4 linked regions of the Pelodiscus sinensis genome follow. The protein of the gene in region 1 purifies or fractionates together with the protein of each later gene. This does not show direct contact. Links are inferred from orthologs where the notes say so. Each region holds a gene or a part of one and is shown on either strand. Other genes may lie near its edges. The genes, in order: PPP1CB, PPP1R12A, YLPM1 and CCDC85C.

Region 1 (7,030 bases):
TATGCAAACTCCATGTTAAACTCAGTGGGAGGTAAGTGAAGAAATATCTGTTTGTCAAGACACAGATTTTCCTTAATTTTTTTACACTCAAGTTAAACAAAAAGTTTAAAAATCTCTAAGATTTTGATTTACAAAGTTTAAAAAAGTTGTACACAGACTTGCACAAATTTGACCTGTTAAGTCTAAAATTTGCCTTTATCACACATTTTAATATTGTGAAAAGATCTTTAAGCACCAATTTCCCAAACAGTCTCAACTGTGAATCTAAGTAACCAACAAGGTGGAAGTGATCTGAGGTGCCATAGGACTCCTTTTTTTTTTTGGAGCAGATACAGACTCTTTCAGCTACACCCTCAAAACATTATTTTATCAACTATTTTAATATGGATATGCACATCAGAAAAGTTACACAAGTTATTGTCTTAGCAAACAAACACTAAGATATATGTTGGAGGCTAGGCCTGCCCTTTTAATAGCAACTTTAAAAAATAACTCTTGCTTGGGTCTATAACTCAGTATTTGTCTTTTGTAAAACGGAATGAAAAACAAACATACTGCATTTAAATCATTGCTCTGGGGTAGGGCTGTGGATGAGGAGTTCAGTATGCAGGCTGGCCTGGACTACTCCATCCCCCTCTCAGGGTGGCAGCAGCTTGGGGCCAGACAAGAAGCACCTCATGCAGCTCCAGTGGGCACAGCCAGGGGAGGTTGCATGTCTACCAGCTGGAGCAGATTCAGGTTCATCTGTCCCCTGTACTCCCCAGACAAAGTGAGGAATGCATAAACTATGCACTTTCCCCTCACTTCTTAATAAAGAGCAACAGCCAGCAATGTCCCCATATGAATTGAGGGGGGAGATTCACCTCCCCATCCTACCTAAAGGGCACCTGGGGAGTAGGAGGCTAGAGGCAGCCAGCCCCTTTCACTTATCTGGTAACTCTGCCTCTTTTCTGCACTGTTTTATGAGAAGCACTCCCAGTCTAGGCACATCCAAACCCTTACGTTGCTTTGAGTTATGATAAGAGGAAGAAGCTGTATACCAAATTTGGTAGTCCTAACTCTTACCATTTAGGAGGAGTTCTTGAACAGACAACTCTCTCAGATATATAGTAGATAGATTTAATCTTATTAAAACATAGTAAAAAGTGCTGCTCCAGACAAAGATTTGAGCCAAATTATTTTACAGGCACCCCCCCCCCCTAAAAATTGAGCTTATAGTAAAAAGTGAATGATAACTAGTCCCATTTGTGACTATCTGTAACAATAATAAAAAACAAGACAAAATTCATTGGTAAAAGTGTCGTGTTTAAACTTGCTAGCAATGTTTCAAGCTTCAAGTCACTCAGAAATGAACTCTAACCTAATGCTGAATTATCTATCTACACTGACCGATAAATACAGGTACTTGCAAGTTCTCTCACTACACTGGATACTTTAAATACAGACATACTAACAAAGAATACAAAGTGTAAGATTTATCATTTCATTAAGAGTTGCTTATTTTATATTCAATGACATTCTAGTGAAGCACCATTTCACTTTTAGCAAGATGAAGGAATGACTACAAAATGATGTTCACAAACCTGTGTGTCATGTTAGGTTATCAAGTAGTTAAATAAGATACCACCAAGAAGCCAACAGTTCGCACTCCTAAGCAAAATCTATATGGTAAGTCTCATTGGTAGCCTTTCAAATCCAGAAGTTACATACATTTTTAAAACTACAGACATGTTTTTTCCCCTCACCAGATATTTGTTGGGGGTCATCAAAAAGAAAATAAGACAAGATCATCCCTGTCCATGATCATCATCAAATGGATTTATAAGGATAGTAGTATAGCATCCTACTCCTTGGAAAACAGTCAGCTGTTTCGCATATTAACCCCCTCACTCATTCTTCTCCGCCTCTATAACCAACATTAGAAATAGCCCCATAGCTAGGCAGAAGAACTGCAGGAGACAAAAACCTTCCTGCATCTCCATACACACACCAAAAATGTCTATTTTTAAAACCATGAAAAACAGCTACCGGTCTGATAGGAAGGAGGGAGACCACTCACTAGCTAGGCTTTTCTAGCACACCCATCACTTGGGGAAGCTGTCCCGACCCTGGGCTTTAAACACATGCAGCACTGATATGGGGCAGGAACTCACTTTACACAGCCCCCCGCCTAATGCGGGCGCGCACGCGCGCTCAGGCACGCCCAGCCGCCTTCTGAATATGGGGCTTAAACGCATTAGCCTTTGATGTCTCCTCTAGTTTAACAGCGCACCGAGGGCTCAGTGCACTCAAAACAACTCCTACTTCTCCCCACTCTCTCAGCAGCAGCAATGTAGCACGCACGTACGTCTCCCCCCCCCCATCCGCGACAGAGCTTAGAGCACCTACTAGCGCGGGAGCGATCGCCTCCCAGACCTTCCTTCGCTGCCGCGCGCTCTCCCCACACCGGGCAAACTGGGCCCAACTTACTGCTTAGGCGCCGGGAGGGGGAGTGGGAGGGGCAGGGGGAGTGGGAGGGGGGAGTGAGTGAGTGAGTGTGAGTGAAGGGAAGGATCCCGCCTCGCCCCCTACCCACCCTTGTGTGCTAGCGCGGGATCCCGCCTCGCCCCTTGCTCTTCACTAGCCCCGCACCCCGTGTGTGTGCGCGTGCACGGGGGAGGGGGAGAGACCCCTAAACACCCTCCCCGGTGTGCGCGTGCCGGGGGGGGCTCGCTCACCTTCCAGCAGCCGGGTGATGAGACTATCCACATTCAGCTCCCCATCCGCCATTTTGTGGCCACCGGACTCAGTCCCGGGCGGGGAGAAGGCGGGGTGGAGAGCGCTTCACGGTCGAGGGGCGGCGGCTCGCCCCAGGAATCCCGCCGCGCTCTCTGCTCTGCTCCTCCCGCGCGGGCACCCGAAAGCGCCTCGCTCGGCCCCGCTCCGTTAAATGGGGGGGAGAGACCAACCCCCGCACCTCCTCCCCGCCTCAGAGACCGGACCGCCAGCAAACCACGACGCATGCGCCGCCACCTGGTTTCTTGCCGCGACCGCTTCGCTTCGCAACTTTAGCAAGGGCGCATGCGTGAGGGACTCCTCTAGGGCCAATGTTACAGACGGCGCAGGCGCAAGGGGTGTTCTTGCTGCACTTCAAGCCCTCCTGGAGGGGCGCATGCGCTTCAGATGATCTTCCTTTCGCCGCCCCCAGTAACCCATTGGGCCTAGCAGTGCTGCAAGCGCGGCCGAGCTAGTGTCAGGTGGGAGCAGGAGAGACGGTCCAGCCTGAGTGCAAAAGGGTGTCGGAGAAGCACGTCCCCGCGCGCAGGTGGAAACCTGCCAGACATCCCCCAGCCAAGCGTTCACAGCTGGAGCCCTCCAGCTGGACTCACACACCCTCCCGCCTGACTCCTGGGGAGGCTAACCAGAGCCCCCCGTCCCACTGCTAACGTGAGCCACTCTTGGGAGCTGATCACGTCTCACGTTCGTTGCTGTCAAAAATCACAATAGTTAAACAAGCTGCCCGCATTGAAAGACCAAGTTGCGCTCAGCAACTAATGCAACTCTCAGAAAAAAAACACTTATGTTTTTCTCATCCCGGACATATTTTTCAGCATTACTTATTGACCATTTTAAAGTATGCGGTTTTGCCATTAGGTGGCTATCTGAATGAACATAAAATGCTTTGAAAGCAGCTGTTAAAATATGCAGGAATAGGGCCAATATGTAAAACTGTAAAGCATAAAACATAGCTATTGCTGTGCAAACTGCAGCTATTCTAGAAAAATCAGGCCACTTAGATACCTAAATATAGATGAAGATTTGGATTTTTGGCTCTAGGAACTGTCGAGGTCTATAACAGACCATGTCATTTTACATGATTTTCAAATACTCATGTTCATATACCAATCAAGGAAAAACTAGTATGAACAGTAACCACCTAACCTCAAGATGATTCTTACCAACCACCACAGGACATACCACACTAATACCAACCCTGGTACCTTCCCTTGCAACAAACCCCGTTGCCAGCTTTGTCCACATATTCATTCTGCTGAAACCATTATTGGACCTAACCAAGTGAGTTATAAGATCAAGAACACATATTCCTGCGCATCCAGAAATATAATCTATGCTATCATGTGCCGAAAGTGTCCGTCTGCTATGTACATTGGACAAACATCTCAGACACTTCGCCAAAGGATTAATGCCCACAAAACAGATATCAGACAAGATCACAAAGAGAAAACAGTTTCTTGCCACTTTAACCAGAAAGGACACTCTCTAAATGACTTAGCCACCTGCATTCTGCTACAAAGACCTTTTACATCTGCACTTGAAAGGGAATCCTCTGAACTGTCATTCATGTTAAAATTCGACACTTGCCAACAAGGACTTAACAAGACTTTGAACTTTCTCACCCATTACCAAGACAGTTTCCCCAATTATCACCTGTAATACCATTAACTCACAAACATCCCACTCTCCCTACCTTTAATATCAGCAATTCACAGACACTTACCTTCCTTTCTCCCCCTTCCCACCCCCCCGCATCCCCCTTCTGTTCTGCAATGTGATTTGTCCTTTTCATATTTGTTCATTTTTTTAAATTGTATCCTTTGGTATATATGGTTGTGACTACTTTCTTCCACTATTTGATCTGAGGAAGTGGGTCTGGCCCACGAAAGCTCATCATCTAATAAACCATCTTGTTAGTCTTTAAAGTGCTACATTGTCCTGCATTTAGTATGAACACAGCTTTAAAAGTCCTTGAGTGATGCTATGAATATGTGCAAATATATATATTAGGGAACCCAACAACTAATGTAAGAAAGAGCTCTTTCAAAAAGTGCAGGGCAATGATAAAGTTTCACTGGATATACTGAAAGAAAAAAAGAAACCATAAAAGGACTCAAAATTTGACTTTATAGTCCCAGTTGAAGACAGCCACCAAAAATGTAATTTCAACTCATCTGCCAAAAGTTTATATGCATATATAAATTCCCTTATTTTTCAGTCTTTTCCATAAATAGAGAAGAGCTAAAATGACACGTGGAAATTTGTTTTGTCCAGCTAGAAAGAGGACTGACTTTCAGAACTGCCCAACATAGTACATATGCTACCTACCCATCCTGAATTTTAAAGCATCACCCAGCTACAGTGGACCAGGTCCATATTATTGAACTCACCTGAAAATCATCACAACATTTTACTGTGGCATGATGATGTTATACAGTGAAAGAATGTTGTATAACAGGATGGAATTGTGTAATGCTATTGTATAATAACTCAGATACATGGTTCCTGCCTTCAGCATCTTCACTATAAAAACTGTTCCAGAATCACTGTGATGTGGCCCAGTCCAGTAGGCATGCTGGATCAGTGCCTATTCAGAATCAGGCTGGAAGAGGAGGTAGTAGTATTATCTCTATTTCAACTATTAGCCTGATGAGTAGAACACTTACTTGGGAGGTCAGAGATCCAGGTTCATATTCCTCCCTTTGTCTGATGGGGACAAAACATTTGAACAGGGTTCTCCCACCTTTCAGGAAAGTGCTTTAATCACTGCACCATGGGATATTTTGATATGGAGCTCCCGCCATCTGTCCTATTAAATCTGTTCCACTTTGGTTAAATACTTAGGGGCTGTGTCTACAATGGCATCCCTTTCCGGAAAAGGGATGCTAATGAGACACTTCGGAATTGCAAATCCGCGGGGGATTTAAATATCCCCCGCGGCATTTGCATTTACATGGCTGCCGCTTTTTTCCAGCTCGGGGTTTTTGCCGGAGAAAAGCGCCAGTGTAGACGCGATTCTCCGGAAAATAAGCCCTTTTCCGGAAGATCCCTTATTCCTATTGAAAGTAGGAATAAGGGATCTTCCGGAAAAGGGCTTACCGTATATACTCGAGTATAAGTCGACCCGAATAAAAGCCGAGGCACCTAATTTTACCCCAAAAAACTGGGAAAAAGTATTGACTCGAGTATAAGCCTAGGGTAGGAAATGAGGCAGCTACTGGTAAATGTAAAAAATGAAGATAGATACCGGGTCTAGCCCCGGAAGTTGGGGCGAAAGCTGCTCCGGTGCCCCTGGTCTGCTGGAGACCGTCTCCAGCAGACCAGGGGCACCGGGCGGGTTCCCGCGCTTCTGAGGCTTTGCCAGAGCAAAGCCTCAGAGGCGCGGGACCCCCCGTGGCTGCGGCTTCAGTCCGGGAGCCTGTGGTCTGCTGGGGACGGTCCCCAGCAGACCACAGGCACCCAGATTGAAGCGGCAGCAGCGGCGGTTCCCCGCGCCTCTGAGGCTTTGCCAGAGGAACCGCCGCTGCTGCCGCTTCAATCTGGGTGCCTGTGGTCTGCTGGGGACCGTCCCCAGCAGACCACATGCTCCCGGACTGAAGCCGCAGCCACGGGGGGTCCCGCGCCTCTGAGGCTTTGCTCTGGCAAAGCCTCAGAAGCGCGGGAACCCGCCCGGTGCCCCATGTCTGCTGGAGACGGTCTCCAGCAGACCAGGGGCACCGGAGCAGCTTTCACCCCGACTTCCGGGGCTAGACCCGGCTAGCCCCGGCCAGCGGCAGAGACGCGCTGAGCCCGCCCGCCTCAGTTCTCGAGATGCTGACTCGAGTATAAGCTGAGGGGGGCATTTTTCAGCACAAAAACTGTGCTGAAAAACTCGGCTTATACTCGAATATATACGGTATTTTCCGGAGAATCGCGTCTACACTGGCGCTTTTCTCCGGCAAAAACCCCAAGCCGGAAAAAAGCGGCAGCCATGTAAATGCAAATGCCGCGGGGGATATTTAAATCCCCCGCGGATTTGCAATTCCGAAGTGTCTCATTAGCATCCCTTTTCCAGAAAGGGATGCCAATGTAGACACAGCCAGAGTGAATGGGCCTGAGAGACTGATTCTACAGTCTCATCAGAGGCTCAGGGTATGTCTACACAGCAAATCACATCCAGGCTCGTGATGAGTCCTGGGCCCTGAAGCCCTCACTGTGTTTCAGAATATGGCTCCCAGCCGAAGTCTGAACATTCGCACTGCCATTCCTGCTGCAC
Region 2 (7,368 bases), on another chromosome or scaffold:
ACCCCTTTTTCCTATACTGCCGTATATATATCTAAGTGAAAATATTACCAAAAGAAAAGTCATTTATGCTCCTGCTTTAGTGCACTAAAACATAATTTGTGAATCACTCAAGACAGGAGAACACAGCTAATGTGAAAAAGAAATAGATGACTATGGGGGACAAGAAAGAGATCCAAAAATGAGCATAAATCACTACCTTTTACACATCCTACAGGTAATTATTTCACAAGGATAGTCAGATCTAAATTGACTGATCTAGTGCTTAAAAATTATGGAAGTGATAGGAAATCCTAGGTACAATAGGGCTTTCAACATTACTGAAATCACAACAGTAGCAAAGTGTTAAAGTTTTGAGATGTTTCCTACTTATCACAGCAATTCTCATTTTTGAGTAGGTGTCCAGCATTTTCTATTTTGTCACAAGTGTATGATAGAGAAGTGTGGGTAAACTAGAGACTATGTTGATTAAAGGGGCACTACAAACAATACATTTCCTGAGAGGACTGGGGTAAACATACAATCATTTACTAAGCTACCTTAATAAAACAATCATTTCACAGTGAAATTTCCCAATTTGCTTTTCAACTTTTGTTGATTAACGCCTCAAAAAAACATTTTTAGTCCTATCATAGCAGTGACACTAGAGTAATGACTACTTTAGCATAACTCTAAGAAAAAAAATCTGCAGCTAACTTGATCTTCCGCTCTGCGGTCAGCTTGCACATTGAGGTGGAGCAAACATCTGACAGCATGGAGGTACAGATGACATTAGTTGTAAAAATGTTGCACTACAGTACCATAAAGTTGGCAAAAACTCCTCTCATTTGGTTTTTAAAAAGGCTTCTCAGACTTGTCAAAACAGAGAAAGCTTATTCTTTACTTTGTTGTTTTACCAATCTTCATTAAAACCAAGACTTTGTCCTTTTGTTCTCAGTATTAAAAGTACCTGAAAGTCTTTTTACATATTAACATCTAACCACAGAAAGTATGGTGTCTGTAAGTAAGGTACGTCTTTAGACTATGAATTTCCAGATTGATTAAATGAAGCTACAGTATATTAAATTTGCCATATACAGTATTACAATATACACTGAAATTAAGGAGTGTATCACCATGTTACCATAACACAAACATAATGATTATCCCATAACTGGTCATGTTCATTCTTGTTTTTATTTTTTGTCAGTAGGAAGCATACCAATTCTATCAAGACTATTAATTTAGTGAAAGGGCAGGTGACAACTTTTGTACAGGAAACAGTAAAGTTATTAGATACACATTGCATTACAGTAAAAGTATAAAATCAGTTAAAAGCATAAAAGGTCTCAGCAATCCATTTACTGTTTTCTATTACAATAAATAATGAGGCATTCCTCATACTTATTTCATTATGAAGGAGTTTACTGCACACTAAAGTCACCAGCTTCTGTTTAGAAAGAACAAACACTGCTCTGAATTTCCTCATTGAATTATTTTGAAAAGATCTGTACCTGATCAAACTAGAGCTCATAATTACCAAATCTTTCCAAAACTACTGAGATTCATTTTTTTATTTTGAAAATTGCATCTATCAAAGAGATTATTCTTGCTTTTTTGATGTTCAATGAATTTAATATGCTGCTATGGCTTTTGGTTTGCTGAAGAAACAAAAACTATTCAGGCAAACCCACATTATCACTGGATTACCACTGCCTTTCCTTATTTGGCTAACATTTTGAGATTCCAATGAGATTGCTATAAAACTTTAACATGTACAAAGCATCCATTTTGAGAAATTTCACGGCCACTTTCCATTCCCCCACCCTCAATGAAAGTTCGAAGTGAGTTCAAAAACATATACAAACCTGCCCCTTCTTACAGCCTCCCACCGCAGGAAATATACACTGTAAAAACACTGCTAACCTAAGAGTGGGGCTTTCACACTGCGGTAGAAACCACCAGTAAAGAAAGAAGCCTGTCTCTTATTGATAGACGTTACTATATTAACAACAAAACATTAATTCCCGCCTAGAAATCAGAGAGAAATGATCCGCCTTCATAATCAGCAGATTTCATCCTTTAAACAGCAGAAAAATTGGAGGGATCGGAGCGACAGAAATGTTGGCGATGTTAACAGCAAACATGGAGTGACCGCGTTTCTCACCCCATCACCCCCACCTGCTAACATCTCCCCTTTCCAGGGTCTTCCTGTCACCTTCCCCGCTCCCGAGCAGCATTTCTCCTGCCCGGACTCACAGCGGATAGGGCCTCGGAGAACCCCGCTTTACCAGGGACACCCCCAATGCTCGCCACGGACAGGGGGTCCCACCAGCACTATCTCTGGGGGAAAGAAACAAGAAGGACCCCGAATCCCCCCAGCCGGGCAGAGGAAAGGGCTCAGTCTCCAGCATCCAGAGAGGGGCCGATCCCAGGGTTTAGCAGGAACGAGCAGCATCCACAAGGCCGATGCATCTGTCCGGGCCGGCAGCCTGGGGGAGACCCCTCGCTGGAGAACTGGAGCCAAGCACCTTTCCCCTTCCTCCGCTCCGTGCTGGACCACAAGCACCGAGCCCGCTCCCACCCCCGCCCAGCCCGCCAGAGCCGCTCCCTGCCCCGGTGCCGCGCGGCCAGGCCCAGCCCCGGCTCCCCCTCGCTGAGGCCGACCTGGTGCAAGGCGGTGAGCCCGTCCACATTGGCGTAGTTGATGTCGGCGCCCCGCTCCAGCAGCCGCAGCACCTCGTCCGTGTCCCCGCTGGAGCAGGCAGCCAGGAAGACGGCGCCGTCATCGAACTTCACCTTGGTCTTTTTGCGCTTGACCACGGGCGGCTCCAGGTCGGTCTCGGAGCCGATCCAGCGCTTCAGCTGCTCGTTCCGCTTCTGCTTGGCGTCCGCCATCTTCATGCCCCGCTCCTGCCCGGCCCTAGCGCTCCGCACCGAGGAGAGCCTCTATCCACCACTATCCCACAGAACACCGCGGCCGACCCGGCCGCCGCCACCGCCGCACTTGCTCACCCGCCCAGAGGGAAAGAGCCGGAGAGGGGGCGCGGCGCCCGGCACTTTAGCATAATATCGCGAGATTCCTGAAGGGGCGGGACTTGGATGGCTGGTGTGTCAGATCAGAGGGGCTATAGGCGAGGCTCTGACTGAGCGCAGGGGAGGGGGCGGAAGAGGCCGGTCCGCGATAGAACAGCGGCGGTAGCCAGAGGGTGGTGACATTCGGAGGGGCACAGGGACCCTGAAGGGGAGCACCGTGGGTGACGCAGAGCGCGCGCCTAAGGAGGAAGCTGCTGGGCGGGGCCTTGTGGTAGGCGGTAGCCGAAGGCAGTTGAGAGAGGCGCGCGGGCGGGGTGAGCAGTTCAGGGGGAAGGGCTCGGGCTTCCCAGGCGGGAGTAGGGTGAGGGGAGCCCGGCGCGCAGGGCCAACGTGCGCGAGCGCTCGGGGAAGGTAGGGAGTCGGGGTTGGGGTAGTAGATTATTGGATATAAGCGAAAGCTCATCGGCTAGTCCATCGACTAGTCGCTCCCCCTTTGCTGCTGCTGTCACAAAGAGGCAGCAAGGGGGGAAGAGGAGGGAGTGCTGAGGGGGGGTGGGCTGGGGGCTGGCTTAAAAGCAGGTTCCCTCCAGCTCCATGGGAGGGGCAAGGGTTCAGCAGCTGAGTTCCAGCTTTGAAATGTACAAGAGCCCTAGTGGGAACTTGCACATTTCAAAGCGGAAGTGCTGGCATGAAGCCTGGGGTCAGAGGGACTCCCTGCTGGGGGTCCATAAGGAAGGCCCCACTAATCCTTATGGACTAATCAAATAGTCAATGAAAATCCCATCACCTATTTGATTAGTTAATTAGTCAAAATGTAACATCCCAAGTTGGGAGAGCAAAGCGTGCAAAGCAGCGTGCTTGCGTTATTTACAGCAGCCTCGCCTTGGGTTCTTCACCCTGTGCCCTCCATAAAGTGGGCTCTATTCTTTAGCTATGCTGTCCTCAAGTAATTCTCCCTTGGGGGAATATATGGGCTTAGAGAGGAGTTTGAATTTGCATTTATAAGAAACTATAGTGTGAGCCATTCACAAAACCTCAAACACTTCAAATACTGCAAGGTTATTCACCCCTTTCCTTATTAGGCTCCTTTTCTTTCCAGCTGCTATTCAGTCTGATCAAACTTATTTTCTGGTGATTGATGTGTCCAAGTAATATTAGGCAAGAAGAATTTACATTAAGACAAGTATCAGAGGGGTAGCTGTGTTAGCCTATATCCAAAAAAATGAGGAGTCCTGTGGCACCTTAAATAAAGACTAACATTTATTTGGACATAAGCTTCGTCATACAAAACATTAGTAGTGAAGTGCCATCAGCCCAATAGGTTTTATTCTCTTCTCTGTCATATCAATAGGACCCTACTGAATACACAGCCATGAAAAACACATCACTGACCATTAAATGTGGTCTCCATCCATGAAATTTCTTTGTGTGTATGGCTGTATCTACACTCACGGCTTCTTGCGCAAGTATGGCAATTCTTGCACAAGAATCCGCAGAGTGTCCACACGGGCCACCTGCTCTTGCCCAAGGAAATTTACAGTATGGCATAGTAAGAGAGGGCCTCTTGCGCAAGAGGGCGGTGTGGACACTCTGCAGGGATTTCTTGCGCAAGAAAGCCCTATGGCTAAATGGCCACGAGAGCTTTCTTGTGCAAGAGAGCGTCCACGCTGCCATGGGCGCTCTTGCGCAAAAGCACAGCTCGCACATGGCAGTGTGGACGTTTTCTTGTGCAAGACTTCTTGCACAAGAACCCTTGCGCAAGATGTTCTTGCGCAAGAAGCCTTGAATGTAGATATAGCCCTAGGCTCTGTCTACATTGGCATGATTTTGCGCAAAAGCATGTGCTTTTGCGCAAAAACTTGCTGCCTGTTTACATTGGCTGCGAGTTCTGGCTCAAGAACACTGACGTTCTAATGTATTAAGTCAGTGCTTCTTGCACAAGAACTATGATGCTTTCGCTCAGGAATAAGCCGTCTTGCGCAACTTTTCTTGCGCAAGAGGCCAGTGTAGACAGGCAACATGAATTTCTTGCGCAAGAAAGCCTGATGGCTAAAATGGCCATCGGAGCGTTCTTGCGCAAGAGAGCGTCTAAGCTGGCACAGATGCTTTTGCGTCAAAGAGTATTTGCACAAGATCATGCCAATGTAGATGTAGCCCTAGTGTTTACCTCTACCATACAAGTTTCATGGGGGAGACCACTGCTTCTCAAATAGGAGGTCATGACCAAAAGAGAGTTGCAGCAGGAGGGTTGCAAGGTTACGTGCTTTTGGGAGCCTGCCAACCCCAAACCCCTGTAGCCATCCCAACCATTCTATAGACAGGAGGGACCTGGAGCATTACAGAGCTTGGTTCAGGACAGCAGCAGTGGTCGCCCCCACACACATGCCCACTGTGCAGATGGAGGGGCCAGAGTGGCATGGTAGCCTGCTCCACTGTGCTGGTCTCTCCCAACCTGCTACAGTTGGGTTCTCCACAGCAGCAGGAAGCAGAGCAGGTGCAAGGTGGAGCTGGTGGGGGCGTTGCCTCAGACCTTGTGCCTGGCGTTCTAGGGGGCTTACCCTGCAAGGCTATTTTAGGGGGCTTGTGGTATTTCCACCATTCTATGCTGCCTTCAGAGCTGGACATGCAGAGAGAAGCACCTATTGGCCAGGTGCTGCCCTCTGAAGGCAATGCCCAGCCAACAGCAGCAAGGGTAGTAATACCGTATCTTGCCATTCTTCCTTCTGCATGGTACCGTTGGTAGCTCATCTTTCAGAGCTGGGCTCCCAGTGAGGAGCTGTCACTCTCGAATAGGGATGTGAAAGCTTAACTGGTTGTGGCATGAGTAACTCAGAGAGCCCACTGCAGACAGGTACTACGCTTTTTGGGAGCAGCCCCTGCCTGGTGTCCTGAGCACCCTGTAGGCAGGGGCTGTGCTGGTGTCCAGAGCAGCCTCTCTCTGCAGAGAGGCCAGCCCACCACAGGTAAGCGCTGCTCTGGTGGGAGCGGGGAGGCAGCAGCAGCCCTACTGTGGGAGTGGGACTGCTCCAGCTAGGCTGGAGTGGTCCCCTGTCTGGATCCCACTTAGTTAACTGATGTTTAATGGTGGTGGGGAAGGGGAACCTCAGGCCCAGGTGCTGGATGTGGCCCTTGGCTTGCCTGAATCTGGTCCCCGAGGTTCAGCATTGGGGAGCCCACGGTGGTGCTCCAGCTTCCCTGCCACCCACAGGGCTGGAGCACACAAAATCTACTAGCCTAGGGCCCCCTTAGGCTCTGCTGTTCAAGGGGAATGTGGGGAGTGTCTTTGCTTCTCAGTCAGGAGGCTTCTGACTTTGCTTCTCACTTGTGTGTGGTCCCTGACTGATTTTTCTGTGGGTCAACAGCCCCCAACCCAAAAAAGGTTCCCCACCCCTGGTTTAACCAGTTAACTGATTAACCAGGATTGTACATCCCTACTCTTCAGTGGGGTCCAGCTCTGAAGGCGGCACTGCCGCCAGCAGCAGTGCAAAATAAAGGGTAACAGTATTGCAACACACCCGCTAATAATCTTGGACCCCTCCTTACCACACACACACACACAAAACTCCTTTCTGGGTTAAAAACATTAAAATTACAACACCATGAAATTTCAGATTTAAGTAGCTGAAATCATGACTTTTACATTTATCAAAATCCTATGGCATTGAAATTGACCAAAATAGACCATGAATTTGGGAGGGCCATATATAAGTCCTCTCATGGATTGATAACTGGTTAAAAGATAGGAAACAAAGGACAGGAATAAATGGTAAATTTTCAGAATGATGTTCCCCAACGATCTGTACTGGAAGCAATCCAAATCAACCTATTAATAAATGATCTGAAGAAAGGGGTAGACAGTGAGGTGGCAAAATTTGCTGATGATACTAAACTGCTCAAGATAGCTAAGACCAAAGCAGACTGTGAAGAGCTTCAAAAAGCTCTCACCAAACTCATTGCTTGGGCAACAAAATGGCAAATGATACGCTCTTCCCCCCTCTCCCCGCCCCTGCTCCTGGCTGGCCAGTTGGTTCTCCCCTACTTCTCCTCCCGATCTTCCCTGGCCAACCCTGCTGCACCCACCGGCCCTGCTTCCGGCGGCCAGTTCTCCCTTCCTCTCCCGATCTCCCCCGGCCCGCCCCGCTGTATCCAACCCCCCCCACTAGCTCTACTTCCCACCGTCCGGTTCTTCCTCCTGATCTTCCCTGGCCAGCCCTCTGCACCCCTGCCAGTGCTACTTCCAGTGGCCAGTTCTCCCATCCTCCTCCTAAGCTCCCCCGACCAGCCCCGCTCCACCCTCCCCCCTCCAACCAGCTCTGCTTCCCGTAGGCCGCTCCCCCCAATCTCCCCCAGCCAGCC
Region 3 (7,309 bases), on another chromosome or scaffold:
GTGTCTGTCAATCCCATTATAAAATTGCAGTTCGTAGACTCAATGAACACCACCACACAAGAGGTTAACTAATGTCTGTTAGGAAAGTACAAATTTTTAATAGCTATGCAAGTGCAAATATATGCTTTAAATGTATGCCAATTAAAAATGATCCCAAGGATTAATAAATACTAAATAATAATAAAATAATTAATTTACACATGTAACTTAACTAGGAATGCAAAATCCCATTTAACTGGTTGATCGATTAAATATATTGTTTAACCAGTTAACCGATTAAAGGGAAAGGGGTGAACAAGAGGAGTACGGCTCCAGCACAACTGGAGTGGACCCCCTTGCTCGCTACTGGGCTGATGCAGCCCCGCCATGCCGCAGGCAGAGGCTGCACTGACTAGGGCACCCCACAAGCAAGAGCTGCTCCAGCATCCCAGCTGGAGCAGTCCCTGCCTGCAGGGCACCCAGGCCTGCCACAGACAGAAGCTGCTCTGGTCGGGATGCCTGTCCAGGCAGAGCAGTCCCTGTCCACTGCAGGCTCTCTGTTGGGCTGAAGCAGCATGGCAGGAGAGCTGCTCTAGTTCTCACCAGTTAACCATCTCTGGTAAACCTCACCCATTGAGGCTGAGGCTTATTAGTTAACTGGTTTAACATTCACATCCCTCAAAGACAAAGATTAACACCCCTCCCCACCAATTTGGCTTTAACTCTGAACACAAGAGTCAAATTAAAAAAAAACCCAACCCCTTGTTAATTTTAAATTATAAAACTAAGTCAGCAAGTTTTTTTAAGAAGTGCACTTAGCCCCTGATCTACAACTGGATCTGTGCAGGCTGACCCTTGGGCTCATACAGAGCTTAATCAACTGCACATACAATCTAAGGCTCCAGGCACGTTATGATGTGCATTTTCAAAATTATGCAAGTGAATAATCTTTAACTCCATGGTATCCAACATGCTAGCCACCAGCCACATGTGGCTATTTGGCCGATTGAATGTGGCTAGTTTGCTATAGTGGCTACTGCTTCAGAAATGTGAACTTTTACAGATTTGGGGCCTGACTGCCCACCTACAGACATAAATGTTTTTAACAATAAAAAGTATATATTCTTCATAAACTTTTGAAAAGACTTTCCTCAAGTGTTTCATAAAAGTTCACCTTTAGGAAAAGATCAAGCCGGAACACATTTAGGCCAAATTCTGAAAACTGTACAAATAAGGCATCTAGGGCCTTTAACAGAAGTACTTTCGTAACCTTAACTACCGCAGGTGTGGCCAAGCAACAACTGTGGTACTGTTATATCTTTTCTGTTGGTAAACTGAAAAAAATTAAACTAATTAGGAAACAATCCTGCAATGTGCCTGCAGACTGCTGCATCAATATGGAATGCCCAAAGTATTCATTCAGTGGAGTTCCATGTAGTTCATCTGCACAACACAATTTGCAAGATCACAACTTTGAAACTCTGAAAAATCCACCAATCAGATAAGGTTCAGTCAAGGCTGAAATTTTATTCTTTATGCATCCCATTGTGGTTGGGATCTGCTGGCTCTTGAACCACAACACCTACAGGACACAAAACATACATTCAGTGGAAGTTTTATGAAATTTTAATCTTATTTGTATCGTTCCTGGCTTTTGTGAACTGAAATCAAATATTTTGTTTAATTTAAACATAATTCATTTATGGTATCTCTATTTTATCTATCTTTAGTTGAGCATCTTTACAACTCACAATATATCCATAAATTATCTGTTCCCATCTATCTTTTTCCAATCTGCAGCCACATTCTGCGGCAATGCTCACGTTGGGCACTTAGCTCTTACCTGAGGGGTCATAGTGGATGGGTCTGGTTGTTGAGTGCTGTGCTGATCAGAATTATCACCAGTATCCTTGGCAGCACTCTGCACTGTTTCTTGCTGGGCAGGAGTGGCAGGAGGTAAGGACGACTGGGATGCAGTAAAGTGAGTTTTAGACTTGGAAATGGATGGGGTCAAACTAGATTGCACTGGTTGGGAAGTGGACGATTGGGAAGGAGACAAGTAAGACTGAGAATGTGTCAGATAGGATTGGGAAGGGGGGAAATAGACCGGAGGGACTGATGGAGGGGGCTCCAAAAAGGATGGCGGGGGTGGCTGAGAAAGCTGAGAATGGGACAAATAAGACTGGGACGGAGAGGACTGGGAAGGTGGTGGCTGGGCCAGAGGGATATAGGGTTCAGAGTGGGCTGGAGGGATATAGGCCTGCGAAGGGGTCGGATAGGCCTGGTCAGCAGGTGCGGGCGACTGTGGTGGAGAAGACAGCTCCATGTCCATGGGCACTGGAGAAGAAGGCAGGTGCTCCCAGTCGCTCTGGGGCTGTGACGGCTGGAGAGGTTCATGCTCTCGGGGAAGTGGGGGCTTGCAGACTTGGGAGTCCCGGGGTGGGGGTGGCGGGGGCGGCTCCCGGTGCTTGAATTGCTTCTGGTAGCTACGGACGGGGGGTGGCACTGGCGGCGGCCAGTCGGTGAAGGAGCCGGGGAGAGGTGGAGGGGGCAGGCCCGGGGGTGGTGGCCCGGGCGGGGGACCCCCCAGAAGCACCGACTGCAGTTGCTTCTGGTGCATTTGCTGCAGTTGCTGCAGCTGAGCCAGGTGCTGCTCTTGCAGGCTAAGGAAGCCCGAGGCGCCAGGCGCGGGGGCCACGCCGGGCCCCGGGGGCGGGTAGTTGGGCGGCGGGACGGTGGGGGGCATCACGGGAGGGGGCACGGGCAGCGGCGGAGGCGGTATCGAGGTGGGGGGCGGCGGGTAGTGCCCCGCCGCCCCGTACATGCCCCAGGCCGGGTACATGGCGGGGCCGGGTCTGAGGCGGCAGTCCGAGCGGAGAGCGGAGCTTCCACAGGCCGCGGCGAACGTCGACAGCAGCGCGTGCGACACACGGCGCCTGCGTAGTGGGGCTCGTTTGGACCTCCAGGATAGAAGAGTGGCATGTAGAAAGCTAGAGTGCCTGCAGCCTGGACCATGGAGAGGGGCTCGCTGAAGTTAGAGCGCCACCCGCCGGACATCTAGGGCTATAGACTGGCCGGACGCTTGCGGAAAAACATGGGCCATAGAGAGGAGCACTGTCTGAAACTAGAGCGTCGCTGATACCGTGGTCTCTCCTGCTCTCATGTCGGCTTGGACAAAAGAGGGGAGAAAAGGGGAGCTAGAGCGCCGCTCAGAGAAAGGCTATCGGCCTCCATCTTGTTTTTGCGGTGGGCCGGAAGGAACATACTGGAGGCCTTCGGCTTCTGGGTCCTATTGCGACCAAGATCTCCACGTTCTCGCTACGCACAAGTTCAGTCACAAGCTGGGATGAAATTCTGGTACCAACCCCTCCTGCTCGCTACCCAAAGTCTGCGAGCTGCTCTGTCAGGCCTAGCGATTAGCAAATAATGACCGGCAAGGGCCACCTCTGGCAAGGGGAGCTGACGACCATAGGCAAAGCCTTGAACCCTTCGCTCCGTTACTATGGAGACAGCATTCAGTTTACAAGTACTGTGTTTGTTTAGCAGCGACAGGCTCTTCGCTTCAGTTTAGCAACCCCAACGCCATTGCCTGAGGACTCGGATTCGCTGAAAATTAACCTAAATTATAACTCGGGTGATGCCAGGATCGCCGTTAGAGATTTTTAGGGAGTCGGGAGAGGGGCAAGTTTAACGGATTCCATGGGCTAGACAGACACATGAACACTCTAGATTTTGATAGTAACTTAGAAATTATCTGACAGAAGCCCTGTATCTAATTTCTTTATAAAGAAAGAAAAATAAATATTAGATCTACTCAGCTCTAATACTAGTATGTTCTGTCATTTTTGTGTCAAGTCACTTAAACTGGTTAGGTCTAAAATTTTAATGTATATTCCTATTTTGTTGCTAACTCTTGAATACAGCAATTGAAACAATTGTAGAAAAATTGATTTCTTTCTATCACTCTTTTGCAGGTCAAGATTGGAATAGATCATATTAACTTTTGGAAACATCCTACTAGGGCAGCAAGGGGCAAACTATGTTAGTGAGTGGGCCACATGATTGTCGTAAACAAGTCAGTCTCCCGGGATGGAGTAGTTTTGCTAACTGTACCTAGAATTTGCAGGGTGTGCCAATTGAACTGTAGCAGCACTTTGATTAGATGCAGAGGGAGTGCAAGGCTCTCTCAATGTTCTGTGCAATTAACATGCACCTGGCTTCAAAGTAGGAATAAGAGCCTCCGGAAAAGGGCGCTTTTTCCGGAGGATCGGGGCCAGTGTAGACGCTCTTTTCCGGCTTTTCTAAAAGCCGGAAAAAAGCGGTGGACATTTTTATTTAAATGCCGCGGGGGATATTTAAATCCCCCACGGATTTCCCTACTACGATAGTTGAAATTAACATGCCCCTTCCGGAAAAGGGGCCAGTGTAGACGTAGCCAAGGATGTACACCAGAGACTTCTAAGATAACAGTTTGTAACATCTCTGCTACGAGCCTGCATCAAGAACTTGGTGATTGGAACATGTAATGTAGACTCCTTAACAACCTTTTCTTTTTTTTGTTAATAAACCTTTAGATGCTAAAGGATTGGCCCAGTGGGTAAGATCTAAAGAGTAAATCGACCAGGGATCTGTGGCTGGTTCTTTGGGACTGGGAGAAGCCGTTTGGGGTAGGTGAGATAGGGTTCTATAAACCCTCACCTGTGTGTAAGACCTGGGACTGATTGTAGCACAGGGAGAACTGGGGTGTCTGAGGGGTTTTGCTCATGAGGCTTCCTGCTGGATAGATTGGCAGCTGAAACACTCAATGTGACTGGTTTGTGGCCTCTTTGGGAAAGGTCTTCAATCTAGGGCTGTAAGCAGCCCTGGTTTTGAGCAATTCACTCTGAGCGGATGCCCTCAGCGGTGCCCAGACCCAACATGGTCCATCATAGGTGGTTCAGTGGATCAGAAGCTACTCTGAGAGATTTGGGAGTCTACTTTCCCCAGAGACATCCTGTATGACCTTAGGCTAGTTAGTACTTTGGGGACAGAGTTTCAAGATTTTTAGGCACCCAAAGATGCAGCTAGGCATTTAGTGGAGTTTTCAAAGCACCTAATTTCTAGATGCTTTTGAAAATCCCATGAGGTGCCTAAATACCTTTCAAAATCTGGCCTTTAGTCTTTCAGTGCTTCAGTATATTACCTGATCAATGGGTATAAAATAACATTTCTGCATTACCTTACTGAGGGGTTGTGTGGAGAAATAGGTTAGTGTGCAAGATTCAGATACTATGGTGATGGGGCCATAAAAGTACCACAGATAAATTTCTCTATACCATTGTTATCCCTTCCCTCGATTTTGGCCCCTTCTTTTCACTTACACCTCTCAAATCTCCCTCTTTTCTGAATGTAACTTTAGTTTAAAGGGCTTCTGAAATCCCTGCATTTTCTTTTAAAAAACCTGTCTTGCAGATTCCTGTTTTACAGGCTCACCTACGGGCTTATCTACACTGACAAATTACCGCACTGAAACTTTCTTGCTCAGGGTTATGAAAAATCACCCCCCTGAGCACAGCAAGTTTCAGTGCAGTAATTTGCCAGTGTAGACAGGCTCCCATTGCTGAGCCTGGCCTAAGGCAGAAATGTAAGAAAGTCTTGAAGACATGTTGCTATAATGTACTTTTGTCAGTGCTGTTTGGTGTTGGAGTGTGCAGGAGAATGTAATCAAACTAGTTTTGACAGGATGGCGGTCGGTTTCTAGTGGAGTGCCCCAAGGTTCGGTTCTAGGACCGGTTTTGTTCAATATCTTTATTAATGACCCGGATGAGGGGATGGATTGCACCCTCAGCAAGTTTGCAGATGACACTAAGCTGGGGGCAGAGGTAGATAGGCTTAAGGGCAGAGATAGGGTCCAGAATGACTTAGACAAATTGGAGGATTGGGCCACAAGAAATCTGATGAGGTTCAACAAGGACAAGTGTAGAGTCCTGCACTTGGGACGGAAGAATCCCAAGCATAGTTACAAGCTGGGGACCAACCGGTTAAGTAGTAGTTCTGCAGAAAAGGACCTGGGGCTTACAGTGGATGAGAAGCTAGATATGAGTCAACAGTGTGCCCTTGTAGCCAAGAAGGCTAATGGCATATTAGGTTGCATTAAGAGGAGCATTGCCAGCAGATCCAGAGATGTCATTATTCTCCTTTATTCGGCTTTGGTAAGGCTACATCTGGAGTATTGTGTCCAGTTCTGGGGCCCCCACTACAAAAAGGATGTGGACGCATTGGAGAGGGTCCAGCGGAGGGCAACCAAAATGATTAGGGGGCTGGAGCATATGACTTATGAGGAGAGGCTGAGGGACTTGGGTCTGTTTAGTCTGCAGAAGCGAAGAGTGAGGGGGGATTTGATAGCAGCCTTCAACTTCCTGAAGGGAGGTTCCAAAGAGGATGGAGAGAGGCTGTTCTCAGTAGTGACAGATGGCAGAACAAGGAGCAATGGTCTCAAGTTGTGGTGGGAGAGGTCCAGGTTGGATATTAGGAAAAACTATTTCACTAGGAGGGTGGTGAAGCACTGGAATGGGTTACCTAGGGAAGTAGTGGAGTCTCCATCCCTAGAGGTGTTTTAAGTCTCGGCTTGACAAAGCCCTCGCCGGGTTGATTTAGTTGGAATTGGTCCTACCTAGAGCATAGGGCTGGACTTGATGACCTTCTGAGGTCTCTTCCAGTTCTATGATTCTATGAAAATTAGACATGTGAAAGTTGGAAGGAAGATTGAGTGCTGCACAGGTGTTCAGTCTTGGATCTATTGGAGGCAGCAAGGAGGGGCAGGCAGGTCCACAGAGATGGCATGTGAGAAGAGCTGGCTTAAATGCTGCCTCCCCATGCACATTAGTTCCTGCTTGACATCCCCCTCCCCGCTGCTGCCTCTGATAGAGGCAATAGCACTGGGGAAGGGAAGAGCAGCTTGTGGGAAGTGATGCGGGTGGAGCTGGCTTAAAAGCCAGCATCACACATGCACCAGCTCCTGCCTGCCCCCTTTACCCTCTGTGCTGCAGCTCCTGCCGCAGAAGGTCTGTGGCGAGCTTGGGCCACCGCAGACAGAAACTGGTCCTCAGCAGCAGCCCCTGTCCATGGGGAGTCTGAGCTCTCCGAGGACAGGGGCTGCTATCGGAGCAGCCTCTGTTCACGGTGAGCCTGGGCTGCCGCGGACAGAGGCTGCTTCATGGCAGCCTCCTCCCCACCTCCTCCCAAAGCAGCTTCTATCCCCAGGGAGCTCGAAACCCCCATGGACAGAAGCTACTTCCACCCCACACTGCTGACCCCACACTGCTGCCTCTGATACAGAGGCAGCAATGTA
Region 4 (6,884 bases), on another chromosome or scaffold:
CACGGCAAGTTAGGATAATACACTTGAGGCATTCAACACTCATCAGTCCAATCCTGAAGTCCCACTCACATTCTCTATGTCACTGAGGCTTGCCCATAGAACACCAGGACCTTCCCATGCCCTCTGCTCTTTCCTCAACTCCTAAAACCTCTTCAGTCGCAAGATACAGTTACTTAGGGTGTCGTGGCAGAGTTGCTATCTGCCCCATCGTGCAGTTCTCCCATTGGAGGGGACGATCTATCCTACGGCTATCCCTTTGTAAGTGTAACATGCTCACATTTGGAATAGCACAAGCTGACAGTATCAAAACCAAATCACTCTGTGACTTTTCACTCTGTCCTTGATGTTACAAGCTGGTGGTACAGAGAGATCAGTTTCTAAGGTCACTGAAGGAGAATGCTGTAGTTCATACTCCATTTACCAAAGAACATTCCCGTCTGATTTGAATATTGTGGTGCAAAGTGGCTTGAAGAAGCTGAAACTCTAGCAGTTGTGCATGAGCCCAGTTTGTGTCCTGTTGTGATCTGCTTATCTGAATTGCAACCTTTAGAAATTCTTCCGATCAAATTTGACATACTTTAACCCACAAGTCTGGATTTTAGGGATATTTTGGGGATATTATTTTAAAGCCATCTTAGTATAGACTCTACTGGGAACTGTGCTTGCATAAGAGTAATAGGATGAGGCCTGTCATTTCATATGGGGATTTCTCCAATTGTCATCACATATTTGTAGAAAGTATAAGGATGGTTTCAGTTATAGTATGATCGCTGACCCGCAAACAACTCTTCTGACTGTTTCAGAAAATGAAAGGGGGGAGCAAAGAGTTAAGCTAGTTCCCCTACATTGAACACTCTCTTTAGCTAGTAGGCATTGCTCAACTTCACACAGTCTGCCAGTGAAAGCCTCACGGAGTTAACAGGTGATGCTTTTATCCATTATCTGGCAGATGAAGACTGTATCCAAAATCCCAACTATGCTTTTTATCAAGCTCATCAAACTATCAGGCAAGCAGCAAAGATAAAACAAAACATTAAAAGGGAAAAAATCAATGTTTAATTAATTCAGAAAACACGGTCAATTTGCCTGCCAGACTTAAAAATAAAAAATAAAACATCATCCCACAGCCCTCACCATTAATAATGCATCTGATGAGCATTTAACAATAGTGTAACTACATCAGAACAGCTCCACTTTGAACTAGTTCTCAGATTAAGAGACGTAATAAAGCCATAGACAGACACATAGGGTGTATTTCATATTTTCAAGAAGATTGCCTGATTCTTATCATACTATTACTACTCCTCATAATAAATGATTACATGCATTCCATTCCCATAGACTCTTCCAGCTGCATGCAGTGTCCAAAGGTCAATGCACTAAACTTCATAAAACCCCTTTGAGACAAGCATCACCATTGCACAGGTGACGAAATGGAAGCACAAAGTAGTTTAAGCAACTTACCCAAGTTCAGACAGGAAATCGGTGTCAGAGCCACAGAACTCATATCACCTGTCTAAGTCATGTGAATACTAGACAGAGCTTCCTCAAACAGAAGTAGAGTACAAGAGAGGGAACAGACTTACCATTGAGACCATTGGGGATACTCCTGTGGTGAAGAGGTGCAGACAAATCATCCATTGACCTCCTTATTGCTCCAGCCTTATTTTCGACAGGTTTGTGATGGTGGAGGTGATGATGATGATGATCTGGGCTCCCTGCACTGCCAGTGCTGGACGTGCTGCTTCCATCTCCCACATCCCTGGTGCCAGAGCTCCCATTCAAATTGGTCAAACTGGCCTGGCTGTCTATAGAGCTCCTAGAGCCAGCTCCATTTCTCTCTTCATCTAGCATGAGGACTATCTCCTTCAGCTCCATGTTCTCCCTCATGAGGGATTCCTGCTTTGCCTCTAGCTCCTTCAGCTTCTGTTGATACATCCCGACTTCTTTCCACATCACACTAGCCGTGTGCCTCCCAAACCTTTGCCATTCCCTGGACAGCTTTTTGCCTTTCTGCCGGTCATCATCCAAGAAGCAGCACAGCTCTCTCAATTCGTGATTATCGTCCTGTAATTTCTGATTCACCTCCTTCAGCCCCCTGATCTCGTGCAGATGAACCTGCAGCCTCCTGTTTACATCCTTCATTAAATTACCATGTTCCACCATTAAGTTCATTTTTTCATTTTCTACTTTCCTCAGTCTTTTCACCAGCTCTTCCTTGCTCCACCTCATCATCTCCTCTTCTGAAATTTTGCTCAGGTCTTCCTTAGACCCTTCCAGAGAATTTTTTGCCATATTTGAGTCTATATAGTGTTTCTTTTTAAATAAATAATAAAATAATAATAATAAACGGTGTTTTCTTAAACTAAAATTTACTGTAACATGTTGGTCAGAGGGGGAATTACAGTTCTTCAGAGACGATGGGACAAGGAAAAAATAGAATATTCACCTTGAATGATTTGCCCCCCATATCAAAAACCAACAGGTCAGGGAGGATCACATTCAAGGCTTTCGAATTTTTTTAATTAAGTCTCCAAAATGAAACAATCAACTTACCCCTAGGTGAACCCAACACTAAAGCGGAGGCTAATCAGCAACGGTCAGTCGTCTTGCATTTAGTCATTTCACTTGTTCCTCTACAAAAATCCCAAACCCTTCGATTTCCAATAAACAGTACAAATAAAATAATACAGGCACCATTCATTCCTCCGATGCACACCTAGCTTGCCTGATCCGATCCCTGCCCACAGCTGCCGAGCCGCAGCAAGGTAGCTATTTTTTTAAAAAAAGCCAATATGTGCAATAAAAACCCGTCCCTCCGGTTGTTTGTTTTGCGTTAATTCCGAGGCTGCTCTCCGGATGATGTCAATGCCTTTGGAAATTGCACGTAAATTTCATGACAAGAGGTGGGGAGCGAGGGAGCATTCCTCTAATGGCACAGTCATCAGAAAGCAGGAGCTCCGCGGCGGGGCTTGAACGGGTCCCACCTACTTCTGCGGGGGGGGGACAAGGAGGGGGGAGCTCTTTCCAGCCCTGTTCCACTGAGCAAGAGGCTTCCCCCACCTTCTCGCCCGGCTGCTGCCGAGCACAGACAGTTTTGCTCCAGGAGAGGCGGATTACAGAGGCAGAGACCTCCCCCCGAAGCCTGATTGGGTGTCAGGGGCTGGGGGCAGGGACCTTGCCATGCTCCAGTCTTTTCAGGTTGCATTTGCTTTGCGCCTCGGGTCAAGTTACTGGGGAGAAGTGGTGGCGCCCCCAGCCAATGGGAGGGCTGCAAAGCGCTTTCAAAAAGCAGGTACAATGGGCAAGGTAGGGCAGCGCTTCTCTTAAAGGGACCGCGCGTCTACACACACAGAGCCCTGGGAGCTGGCGTGCCCCGCGACCTGCCTCCGCCAGCGTTTCTCTCACTCTGACCCAGCCATGTGTCGCCGCCAGCCTGTGTCGGAAAGGCGCAGGCTGCTCTCGGGAGTACAGGGGAAGCGGAGTCGCGGCTGCCTTTTTGCATTTCTGCCACCGTCTCTTGCTCTCTCGGCAGCCCTGCTGGTGAATGGGGTTTGTGCGCGCATCGGGTTTGCTGCCTGGCTCCACGATGCGCTGTGAATGAGTATGGATTGGTTTCTGTTCGACCAGGACCCATTGGCCAAGGGTGTGGTGTGAGCACCTCTGCCCGTCCGCCATCTCAGGAAGGCAGGTGGGGGCTGTCGGGAGGGGAGGCGCCCTTTATTCCAGCAGCAGCGATTTCCCCACTTCTGGGGATAATTCCTTGTGTTGTGTTGCCTCAGTAACCATGGTGAGCAGGAAGCCTGGTGCTGACCCTGTGGGCACAAGCAGACAGTGTCACAGCAGCTGCAAAAACAACCAGTGGCTTTCCACTGGTCAGTCTGAACTGGCACCATGACAGCTGAGGTCCTCAGGTGGCTTTCTATCAAACTGTAGGGCTCTGAGACAGCAATGAGCAACCTAGGTTAGCGAGTGGGCTGCATGAGTGGCCCTCCAGTTCAATGGGCAGCAAGATTGTAAGGAAAAAACTACCTGTCTGGAAACCAGCAAAATCTGACAACCATACACCTGAGGAAAGGTAAACAAAATGTCTCGTGGGCCACATGTAGAACCCTGATGGGCTGTATGGGCCGCAGATTGCCCACCATTGCTCTGAGACATACACTGCACCTAATACTGTGATCTGCCTAGAGAGATAAATAACCAGAGAGAGCAAGAGGAAAGCAGCACCTCCTCAACTCCTGCCCACGGATAGCTGAGGCTATTCTACTTTCTGTAGGCCTCCTCTCATAGGCTATGTCTATACTGCAGGCTTTTTGCACAAGCAGGTGACTGAGAGAAGCAGCACTTTCCCTTTAAAAGCGCCACTTCTCTGTGGCTGGCGGTGTGGCCACCTGCTACTACTGCGGAGTCCTCCCAGCCATGCTCTAGATTGCTCAGGTAAATGGCATCCACTCTGGGAGAGTTGGCAACCTCTTTCCCACACAGCTTTGGCCCTCCCTCTCACCCCCCATACAGAGCAGCCACTTCCCCCCAGGGGGAAGGTACTGGTGCTGGGCTGCATAGGGCACCAGCACCAGTAGGAACAGTCCTGATATCCCTTCCCCTTTTATAGCCATTCACCTTCACAGGGATCCTTTCTCCATCCACAGCCTGTGGAGTGCTCAGCTACATGCAGAGCAAATTCATGTATAACCCCCACAATGCAGGATGTTGTCTGAGTCTCTGCCACACAGGCCACTCATAGGCTGTGTCTACACGACAAAGAAAAGTCGGAAAAAGATACGTAAATTGTAAACCGCTTTTCTTCCGACAGAGGCTTTTCAGACTTTTAGCCCATCTACACGGGGCCAAATGTCGGGAAAAACCCATTTTTCAGAATATCCCTTTTTCCTCATAAAACGAAGTTTACAGAGATGCAGAAAAAATGCACTTGCTTTTCCGAAAAGAAAATGAGAATGAGAAACAACACATGAACTAGGTACATGCATTGAGTACAGTGATCAGCACAGGGCGCAGGCTTGCTGTAGGGAGAAGGTTGACTCCATGTGCCTAGAGAAAGGGTGGACAGTAGGAGAGATGTAAACCCCAGGAATGCAGGAGTAAAGGGCCTGAATAGGGAGCTGCAGAATTTATCATTGGACTATGTTGATTGAAGGGCTGCTGAATAAATCTAGGAAGTGGATTGGCAGCGGTTGGCAACATTTGGCAAGCAGCCCATGATTAGAGTAATCCACTGGCGGGCCACAAGACATTTTGTTTACATTCACCATCCACAGGCACATCCCCCTGCAGCTCCCAGTGGCTATGGTTTGCCAGCAGATTACACCAAAGGTTGTTGGCCTCTCGTTTTATATTCGCATAGTGCCAACCAAGTGCTAGGCATTTTGGTAATGGTTGGAGGATCTCTCATGAAGGTTATGTGATAATAAGTAAGGGTATGTCTACACTACCCCGCTAGTTCGAACTAGCGGGGGTAATGTAGTCATCCGCACTTGCAAATGAAGCCCGGGATTTGAATTTCCCGGGCTTCATTTGCGTGAAGCCGGCCGGCGCCATTTTTAAATGCCGGCTAGTTCGGACTCCGTGCTGCGCGGCTACATGCGGCACGGACTAGCTAGTTCAGATTAGGCTTCCTAATCCTCATTCCACAGGAGCTGCCGGACAAGGGAGGTCCAACCTATACAGTGATTTGTTTTGTTACATCACTGGGTTTCATCATATCTCCAGCATCCAAGCATTTCCTGGGGCAAGCCCTTTATTTACATCCTCTCTTATAGGAAATAAAAAGGGCTCGTCCCAAGCTAGCTCAGCTTCGTGGTTTCAGGAGTGATCCATCTTCTTTTGCAGAATTACCTTTAATTTGCTGGGAGGGAAAGAAGGAAGGAAGGGTGAAGGCAGAGGAAGTTGTTCATAGATGTCATTCCACAACATCACTGGGAGGAGAAGGCAGTGATGATTGTGCAATGGGGTGCAAGATCAAATGGATGCAGCTAGACCGGGCAGCATGTTACCAGGGCTGCCCTTGATTTGCAGCACAGAAATTAACTTTGTGCCGTCAGAGTTGACCTTGTTTCCCAGAGAAGCTGTTTTTTTCTGGATTGTTTCTTCCAGAGGAAACTGGATGAATCTGCTCTATAGTTGGCTTTACAAAGAATTATCTTACTGGACAAAAGAACTCTGTGTGGGGAAGTATTCATATATATTAGCATAGGCTGAGAAAATAGATCATTGTTTAATGCTTAGTATATAAGGATACAGACATCCAGTAGCAGCAAATAGACATGAATGACCTGTATTTGGTGTGGAGGGCTCTCACTGATCTAAATATGAGTACTGCAGTGCTTTTTAAATAGACAAAAGTATTGTCAGCTTGGGAAGATGATGAGGGAGGGTGTTATCTAGTTAGTATTGAGAGCTAAGAGTGCTCCTGCCTCTGTTCCCAGTTTTGTCACTGATTCTTAATCATGTTGGGCATGTCACAATCTCTCTCTGCCTCTGCTTACCCATGTTTAGAGTGGCTCTGATGGATGTTGTGAGGCATGTCTGCAATGCTCTGAGAGGTTTTTGGAGGGAAGTGACTACATCAGTGTAAGGTATTATTATCAACAGTAACTATTAAGGTATTCAAATAAGTTTATTGCTTTTATCCCAACAAACAATAAACATCCTGGGATATTTTTTGAAGGGCTTGTGCTTTCTACAGCCAGCTAACAAAGCCAGTTCCCATATGTGGTTCAGATAGAATTATGATTCTGCTAGGTCAATTTCCATTGGAAGATAAGAGTTCATAAACAACACACCAAACATTTGGTTTGTTTCATTTGGCTGCTGGACCAGCCGCGAGTTGTGAATGAAAAGTCATTCTAATATGCATGTCATCA

The links.
Region 2: the proteins of PPP1CB (region 1) and PPP1R12A purify together in Homo sapiens (affinity purification with mass spectrometry; 6 studies listed by BioGRID and IntAct, with this or other methods). This does not show direct contact. The link is inferred for Pelodiscus sinensis from reciprocal best matches to the Homo sapiens genes PPP1CB and PPP1R12A.
Region 3: the proteins of PPP1CB (region 1) and YLPM1 purify together in Homo sapiens (affinity purification with mass spectrometry; 3 studies listed by BioGRID and IntAct, with this or other methods). This does not show direct contact. The link is inferred for Pelodiscus sinensis from reciprocal best matches to the Homo sapiens genes PPP1CB and YLPM1.
Region 4: the proteins of PPP1CB (region 1) and CCDC85C purify together in Homo sapiens (affinity purification with mass spectrometry; 3 studies listed by BioGRID and IntAct, with this or other methods). This does not show direct contact. The link is inferred for Pelodiscus sinensis from reciprocal best matches to the Homo sapiens genes PPP1CB and CCDC85C.

Annotation. Positions count from the first base shown.
Region 1 is NC_134713.1:160,760,376-160,767,405, forward strand, and holds the start of PPP1CB (serine/threonine-protein phosphatase PP1-beta catalytic subunit), read right to left. Parts: upstream 3,024-7,030; 5' UTR 2,770-3,023; coding exon 2,718-2,769; intron 2,413-2,717; exon of another isoform or gene 2,390-2,412; coding exon of another isoform or gene 2,389-2,389; intron 1-2,388. UniProt on the Homo sapiens protein: Protein phosphatase that associates with over 200 regulatory proteins to form highly specific holoenzymes which dephosphorylate hundreds of biological targets.
Region 2 is NC_134711.1:70,892,922-70,900,289, forward strand, and holds the start of PPP1R12A (protein phosphatase 1 regulatory subunit 12A), read right to left. Parts: upstream 3,012-7,368; 5' UTR 2,881-3,011; coding exon 2,644-2,880; intron 1-2,643. UniProt on the Homo sapiens protein: Key regulator of protein phosphatase 1C (PPP1C). Mediates binding to myosin. As part of the PPP1C complex, involved in dephosphorylation of PLK1. Capable of inhibiting HIF1AN-dependent suppression of HIF1A activity.
Region 3 is NC_134714.1:44,324,552-44,331,860, forward strand, and holds the start of YLPM1 (YLP motif-containing protein 1), read right to left. Parts: upstream 3,022-7,309; 5' UTR 2,822-3,021; coding exon 1,823-2,821; intron 1-1,822. UniProt on the Homo sapiens protein: Plays a role in the reduction of telomerase activity during differentiation of embryonic stem cells by binding to the core promoter of TERT and controlling its down-regulation.
Region 4 is NC_134714.1:24,767,888-24,774,771, reverse strand, and holds the start of CCDC85C (coiled-coil domain-containing protein 85C), read right to left. Parts: upstream 3,003-6,884; 5' UTR 2,296-3,002; coding exon 1,587-2,295; intron 1-1,586. UniProt on the Homo sapiens protein: May play a role in cell-cell adhesion and epithelium development through its interaction with proteins of the beta-catenin family. May play an important role in cortical development, especially in the maintenance of radial glia.